2 linked regions of the Canis lupus familiaris genome follow. The protein of the gene in region 2 purifies or fractionates together with the protein of the main gene of each other region. This does not show direct contact. Links are inferred from orthologs where the notes say so. Each region holds a gene or a part of one and is shown on either strand. Other genes may lie near its edges. The genes, in order: PTPN6 and myeloid cell surface antigen CD33.

Evidence for each region.
Region 1: the proteins of myeloid cell surface antigen CD33 (region 2) and PTPN6 purify together in Homo sapiens (co-immunoprecipitation; 4 studies listed by BioGRID and IntAct, with this or other methods). This does not show direct contact. The link is inferred for Canis lupus familiaris from reciprocal best matches to the Homo sapiens genes CD33 and PTPN6.

What each region holds. Positions count from the first base shown.
Region 1 is NC_049248.1:8,008,330-8,011,166, reverse strand, and holds the end of PTPN6 (tyrosine-protein phosphatase non-receptor type 6), read right to left. Parts: intron 2,067-2,837; coding exon 1,999-2,066; intron 1,894-1,998; coding exon 1,742-1,893; intron 1,645-1,741; coding exon 1,553-1,644; intron 1,180-1,552; coding exon 1,065-1,179; 3' UTR 1,059-1,064; intron 873-1,058; 3' UTR 681-872; downstream 1-680. UniProt on the Homo sapiens protein: Tyrosine phosphatase enzyme that plays important roles in controlling immune signaling pathways and fundamental physiological processes such as hematopoiesis.
Region 2 is NC_049222.1:106,345,970-106,350,492, reverse strand, and holds the start of myeloid cell surface antigen CD33, read left to right. Parts: upstream 1-1,542; 5' UTR 1,543-1,611; coding exon 1,612-2,086; intron 2,087-2,263; coding exon 2,264-2,542; intron 2,543-2,769; coding exon 2,770-2,817; intron 2,818-4,122; coding exon 4,123-4,219; intron 4,220-4,464; coding exon 4,465-4,523. UniProt on the Homo sapiens protein: Sialic-acid-binding immunoglobulin-like lectin (Siglec) that plays a role in mediating cell-cell interactions and in maintaining immune cells in a resting state.

The sequences.
Region 1 (2,837 bases), on a different chromosome or scaffold from region 2:
CTGGTGATCAACTCCCACCTGGGGCTCCCTGCTCAGCAGGGAGCCTGTTTCTCCCTCTCCCTCTGCTGCTCCCCATGCTTGTGGCCTCTCTCTCTCTGCGTGTCAAATGGTTAAATAAAATCTTTAAAAAATATATATCTGTAGTGTTTTAAGTGGTGCCTAACGCATGACAAGTGTGTAATGAATTATCATTGCCATTTGTGGTCTTTCTCCCTTGTCACAATGATCTCACAATCACTCTGTCAGGATCATCCTCCATTTTATTATATATATATATTTTTTTTAAGTGAAGTATAGTTCACACACAATGTTACATTAGTTTCAGGTATACAACATAGTGATTCCACAAGTCTGTATGTTACACTCGCTCACCACAGTAAGTGTAGCCACCATCTGTTATCATACAATTATCACAACACCATTGACTATATTCCCTACGCTATGCCTTTGATCATTCTTCCCTGAAAGGACAGGCTGAGGAACCTGGCCCATGGTCACACTCCTAGTATGTTTAGCAGAATCCAGAACCAGGTCTGTATGGCTGTGAAGGCCTAGCTTTAATTTAATTTATGCGACCGCCCGCACACGCGCACACACACACACACACACACACACACCTCCCTCTTCGTCCCCTTCTGAGCCCCCTCCTACCCAAGCGTTCAGAATTAGAGACCCACACACAGTGATTCCCTGGGGCTTTATTTACAAGAGTAAAGGGCCTAGGGTCACCTGGGGCCTTGCTGGGCTATATACAGGGTCAGGAAGAGGGAAGTAGGGATGCAGTCTTTTAAATTACAATAGAATGGGGGCGGGCTCCTAAGTTCCGGCTGTGGTTGGTCCACGGGAGGCCTCTGCAAGGATCAGGCCTGAGGCTGCAGAGAGAAGGGAGTAAGAGAGTAAGAGGGTGCCTGGACCCGAAAAGGGGATCAAAAGGATCCAGAATGGTTGGAAAAAGGGCAGGGTGAGGTTGTAGCCACCCCAACCATCCAGGTGAAAGCATTGGATCCAGGGAACACTTGGGGCAGGGCAAGGCGGAGCCCGGAGCAGAGAGGCCATACCCTGGCTCACTTCCTCTTAAGGGAACCCTTGCTCTTCTCCTTGTCCGCCGACCGCTGCTTCTTCACCTTCTCCTCCTTCTTGTTCTTACTCTGCAAATTCTCATATACGTCCTCCTTGTGTCTGCAGGTGGGGTGGGCAAGTGTGGGCAGTTGCCACAGGTCAGGAGATGGGGCAGGATTACCCAGCACCAGCAGCTGCCTCTGGCCCACCCCTGTTTCACAGGTGAACAAACTTAGGCCAGGAGAAAGGAGACCCGGTCAGCGTCCTTTCCCTAGACTAGAAGCTCCTTGCGGGCAACAGCTCCATCTCACACATTAGTAATACCACCAGGACCTGGCATGGGACCCAGGTAGAGGACACTCAGGGAATATTTGTGAGCAGAGGGAGTAAGAGGCAAGCTTGAACTTGAACCCAGGTCTCCCTGACAGCGGCACTTGTCATCTCTGGAAAGGAAGGATCGGGCCAGGGAGGAGGGTAGGCAGGGGTCACTTACTTGGAAGAGGTGCGGGATGCCTTGGCATGGGCGTTCTTCATGGCTAGGGGGTAGGTGATGTTCCCATACTCTGACTCCCGGCCCTTCTGGGACTGTGGGCAGAAGTGTGGTGGGAGGGCAGTGGTCCCAGCAGGACCAGGAGACACCCACGGCCCCCCACCGCTCTGCTGAGCCCTGCTCTGCACATACCTGCATGACCTCCAGCTTCTTCTTCGTGGTTTCAATGAACTGGGCGATGGCCACATAGATGAACTTGTACTGTGCCTCCGTTTGCACCATGCCCGAGCGCTGCGCCCGCACCATCTGGATCGTCTTCTGGATGTCGATGTCACAGTCCAACCCTGGGCAGGCATGACAGTTGGACCTCAGGCCCAGGCAGAGGAGGACACTGAGGGGCCGCTCACCCAACACCCCCAACACCTGCATCGCCCATGGGTCACCCTCACCTTTGGTGGAGATGCTCTCCATGAGCATGTCGATGACAATGATGGTTCCTGTGCGGCCGATGCCTGCACTGGGGAGGGAAGGGGGCACCATCAGAGGCCCCGGCCATGCCTCACCAGGAAGGGAGAGCCCCAGCGTTCAACTCCAGCACGGTGGCAGGATGAAACTGAGGCTCCGGCGAGATGAGGTAACGTGCCCGGGGTCACTGGGCAGCCTAACCAGAGGCAGAAGCCTGCCGGACCCTGAGTTCCGGGCACTTGCACTCAACACTTCAGCCAAGGGATTTGTGGGTGGGCCCAGTTCTCCCAGGGCCGCCCCGCCTGGCCTTCCTTCTTTCCAGCATCTCACCCTTCCACTTCCTGCTCTGCCTCCTCATTGCTGGCTGGGGGCTGCTCTTCAGCCCACCAGGGTCCCTCCCCCCACCCACTCTGGCACTCTGGGCCTCCCCTGACCCTCTCCCGCACCCTTGGCTTGAATGAGGCTTCCCCGCCACTGCACACCCCAGCCCCACCTCGCACTCTTCAAAAGTTTTATTTAGATCTTCTTTCGAGAGGACTTTGTTTCCCGTTTTTTTCAGACCCTGAAGACCAGGAAAGGGCAGCCCTTGAGGCAGCAGGGCAGAAAGGTCACTGGGGTCAGGAGATGATGCGGAGATGCTGTGTGAAGTGTGAGGTCTCCCTTCTTTCCCCACCCTCCACCAGCATCCTAGAGCAAACAGATCCCAGGAAACTCAGGATCCCTCAGAGACCCCAGTTCTGTCTGCTTCGCGGGGCCGCCAGGCTAGTGGCCTGAGTTGCACTAATTTCAAACCCAGATTGTCAAAAATAACCCCCCCTTACCC
Region 2 (4,523 bases):
CTCTTGACTCTGCTTATGGTTACATAATTTGATACATCCATCAACCTTGACAGAATTGTAGGAGATAACAAGTGAATCTCACTAAGTCTAAGTTAGAATAAATTAAGAAATAAAGAACACATCTAGAAACTACTACAATTCTGCAAGAATTGGTTTAAAAATTTTTTTAAGATTTTATTTGTGTATTCATGAGAGGCAGAGACATAGGCAGAGGGAGTAGCAGGCTCCCTGCGGGGAGCTGATGCAGGACTCAGTTCCAGGACCTGGGGATCACGACCTGAGCTGAAGTCAGGCACTCAACCATTGAGCCACCCTCTATGGTGCCCTTCTATGTTAATACTTTTCAAGGAACATTTACTTAAATATTACTGTGTTTGGAAGATTTTACGAATGTATGATGGCAAAGGCTATTATATATTTATATTGTAAAAAGAGGCATCAACGATTTCCCAGCTGTGTACTCCACAGAGTGAGATGGGCAAGCATGTCAGCAGAACCTACAGTTTTAATTGCAGCTGTATAACCACTCCACTCATATTTTCTGCAAAAATATGTGTTTTGAGCCACATTTGACCTTGAGAAGCTTATTTTTTACATGACAGGAACTGTTAATTGTCTGATGAGGAACTAAAGAAATTGCTTCAGCCCACACTCCATTGTACAGACAGAGATTCCAATGGCTCATAAACATGTTTTCTCCCTTTTGTTTTACATGGAACTATGTAGTTTTTTCAGTTCTCCTTTTGTTTTTTTTTTTGTTTTTTTTTTTTTTCAGTTCTCCTTTTGGAGATCCAGTGACACTTTAGAAATCAGCATAATAGAAGTAAAAAAATGGTCCTATCCTTGTATATAAGAAAATATCCAGGAGACCAGGAGACACATTGCAAAGTCACAGGTGTCTGCAGCTGTGAACCTGATAGGGACAAAATGAAAGTATAGTGTATCTATGAAGGAAGTGGTACCCTTGGTTGGGACCACGTCATGGAATGAACTGGGTCAGGCCCAACTGTCTTATCTCCAGGTGCCCCCAACACAGATATTAACTAGGTATTTGGAGAATGGATGAATGAATGAATGAATGAATGAACGAGTGGCTCCTGCTTTCTCTTCATCCAGGACCCCATCTTTCCTTCTGCTCCAGACACTCACATAGACCTAAGAATCCTCCACCTTGCAGGACTGATCACCTGAGGATCTAGATGAGCCTGTGACTCCAGGTTTAGCCAGGAATTGACTAGCTCCCTGTTAGAGACAATACTGCTCAATCACCTCAGGTGGGAGGACCTGAGGAGACTCACTGTGTCCCATGCCTCATGTGTCCTCAGAGAACCTGGACCAGACTCTGGTGCCACAAACAAGTGCCAGGATGGGGGCAGTGAGGGTCCACTGAGAATCTCTTCTCCCTTGGGGGGGGGGTCTCCTTTGTTCTTGTCCAGGAGTGTGGCTGATTCTGTGCAGGGAGGGGGTGAGCTCTGGGGCTGCAGTTCCATTTCTGTGAACTACGAGGCCTCATGCTCCTCCCCAGCTTCTCATGGGTCCTTCCCAGCACCAATCCTACTGGCTTTCACTTCTCCTTCACCCACAGGAAGCCTACATACCCTCTTGTCTAGGATGCTGCTCCTGCTGCTGCCCATACTGTGGGCAGTTGAATGGGCCCAGGGGAAGGTGAAGTTGGGAGCCTCTGCCGACGCTGGAGTCCCAAGATCCTTGGCTCAAGATCCGATATACTGGCTACAAATACAGGAGTCCCTGACGGTGCAGGAGGGCCTGTGCATCTCTGTGCCCTGCTACTTCTCCTACCCCATGGAATACTGGATCAAGACTTACTCTGCTTTGGGCTACTGGTTCCGGAATGGGACCAATGTACATTGGGGTGCTCCAGTGGCCACAAACAACCCAGATCGAAAAGTACAAGAGGAGACCCAGGGCCAATTCTTCCTACTTGGGGACCCTCAGGCCAACAACTGCTCCCTGGAGATCAGAGATGCACAAAGAAGGGACTCAGGGACATACTTCTTTAGGGTGGAGAGAGGGCCTTATTTGAAATATAGTTACCTACAGAACCAGCTCTCCGTGCATGTGACAGGTAAGGAGAAGACTCTAAATGACACCATAGGGGTAGGACAGGGCTCCAGGACTCCCTGGGTGGGTTGGGAGATGCATCTGGGACTCACAGGCAGGGGCTGCACCAAGCTGGGGCTTCTCTCAGGGGCAGACCTCAGATCACTCCTACTGATCCCCATGTCTCCCCATCTCCTCACAGCCCTGACCCATACACCTGACATCCTCATACCAGGGACCCTGGAATCTGGCCACCCCAGGAACCTGACCTGCTCTGTGCCCTGGGCTTGTGAGCAGGGCATACCCCCCATCTTCTCCTGGATGTCAGCTGCCCTTACCTCCCTGGGCCCCAGGACCCACCTCTCCTCGGTGCTCACCCTCACCCCCAGGCCCCAAGACCACGGCACCAACCTCACCTGTCAGGTGCAGTTCCCTGCAGTTGGTGTAATGGTGGAAAGGACCATCCAACTCAATGTCACCTGTGAGTACAGAGCTAGGACCACCTGGGTGCCTAAGGGATGAGGGGAGGGAAAGCCAGCCTTAAGATGCCTGGCGCTTTAGTCCTAGAGGTCTGGTGGAGTGTGGGACCTAGAAAGACACAAACCCTGTCCCTTCTGTGTTTCTGTGGTTTCTGGGGTGGGGGGATGCCCATATGTATCTGATATTACCCCACCAGACTGAAGAAGGAAATCCCCTCTTTGATCCTAGGTACCACACAGAACCCAACAAATGGTGTCTGCCTGGAACACAGCACAGGTAGGAAGGAGCCTCATGTCCATGGGGTATTGACTGGCCAGGGTCTCTGTCAACTTAAGTCAGAGTGGGACTTTAGACTCCATGGATGAGGGTGTGTTGGTGTGCTGTGGTTAGACATGAGAAGCCCTCTCAGCCCTCTTCTCCCATAACCTCGCACTTTGGTCTTGCCCAAGTGACCTGCAGTTTTCTCTCCACTATCTTGAATATGCTTTTCATCAACCTCTGGTCCCTGAAGGCCTTGGAGCATTTTCAGTAGACTGTACTCTTGGAGGGGAGTTTTGGATTCATAGCAAAACTAAGCTGAAGGTAGAGATTTTTCCCCAAATGCCCTGCTTTAAGTGCATTACATCTCTACTATAAACATCCCCCACCAGAGGGTAGCTTTGTTACAATAAAATCTACATGGACGTCCTTTATCACCATCAGTCCATCCTTGACATTAGGGTTCATTCTTGGTATTATACATTCCATGAACTGGACAATGTATAATCACATGTAACCATCTAGTGTTACTGTGTGGAGTAATTTTGCTGCCCCAAAATGTCTCTGATCATTTTTTGACTGTCAATCCTCGGGCCTCACCTTGCCTTCTCTCTGAGCTTAGCCTTACCCCCATTGTTCTATCTCATTGATAATGATATCTGGCCCTCACCTGGATAGTGAGCCCCATTAGGACTCTTTCAGTGCATGCCAAATGGTTGACAGGTGATGCCCATGGACACATCCTTCACCTCGGGTGTGGGATGCATGGCCAGGCAGGGCCAGGAGAGCTGAGGGTCTGAGAACTCCCCTGCTTCTACCTGCCTCTGGAAGTGCAAAAGACCACATTTGACTCTGAGTGATAGGGCCAGTGGAGGCCAGGAGATTCAGACACCCTCCCTGGAAGGAAGGAGTGACTTCCACATCCCACAGAGCTCTGTACATCTCTCTCTCTCTCTCTTTCTCTCTCTCTCTCTCTCTCTTTCTCTCTCTCATTCTGGAATGCCAAGAGGGCTGAGAGCCTCATGGTCCCACTGCAGCCAGGTCTGGGATCTGCTGCAGAGAGACTCTGTATGAGGAAGAACCAGGATCCTAGAAGAGATGGTGTTTGCTAGACAGGAGTTCAGGGGCCAGATGGTATGGATAGAAGGTTTCACATAGACCATGTCCTTCTGGTGGAGGCTGAGGTCCCACAATGGGTAGAAGACCCTCAGGGCTGAACCCTGGACAGGAGTGAAAGGGTATCCCTCTCTGTGGAGCTGCAGAGGAGGCAATTTATGTCTGCACATCAAGATTGGAGTTCAGTCCAATTGTCTCTGTCTACAGGGAAACCAGGGACCAGGTCAGGAGTGACTGTAGGCGCCATTGGGGGAGCTGGTGTCACCATGCTGCTCACTCTCTGCCTCTGCCTTATCTTCTTTCGGTGAGCTGGGTAGGTGTGGGAGAGACGGGAAGAAGTGGGACCTGCAGGAGTTGTGATGTCTTGGAGCAAGGGTGAAGGGTGCCAAGTACAGGTGTGTTCTCAGCCCTGGTCCCAGTGGTCCAGGAGCAAGGGGATCTTGTTACAAAGTCTTGATATGAAGGCTCCTGGGCTCACCCCAGCCTCAACTTGCCTCAAAAGAATGACCCTATGTCAGAGACCCTTGTGTCTCCCGTGTCTCCCGTCAGAGTGAAGACCTGCAGGAAGACAGCATCCCGGACAGCAGTGGGCATGGACAATATCCACC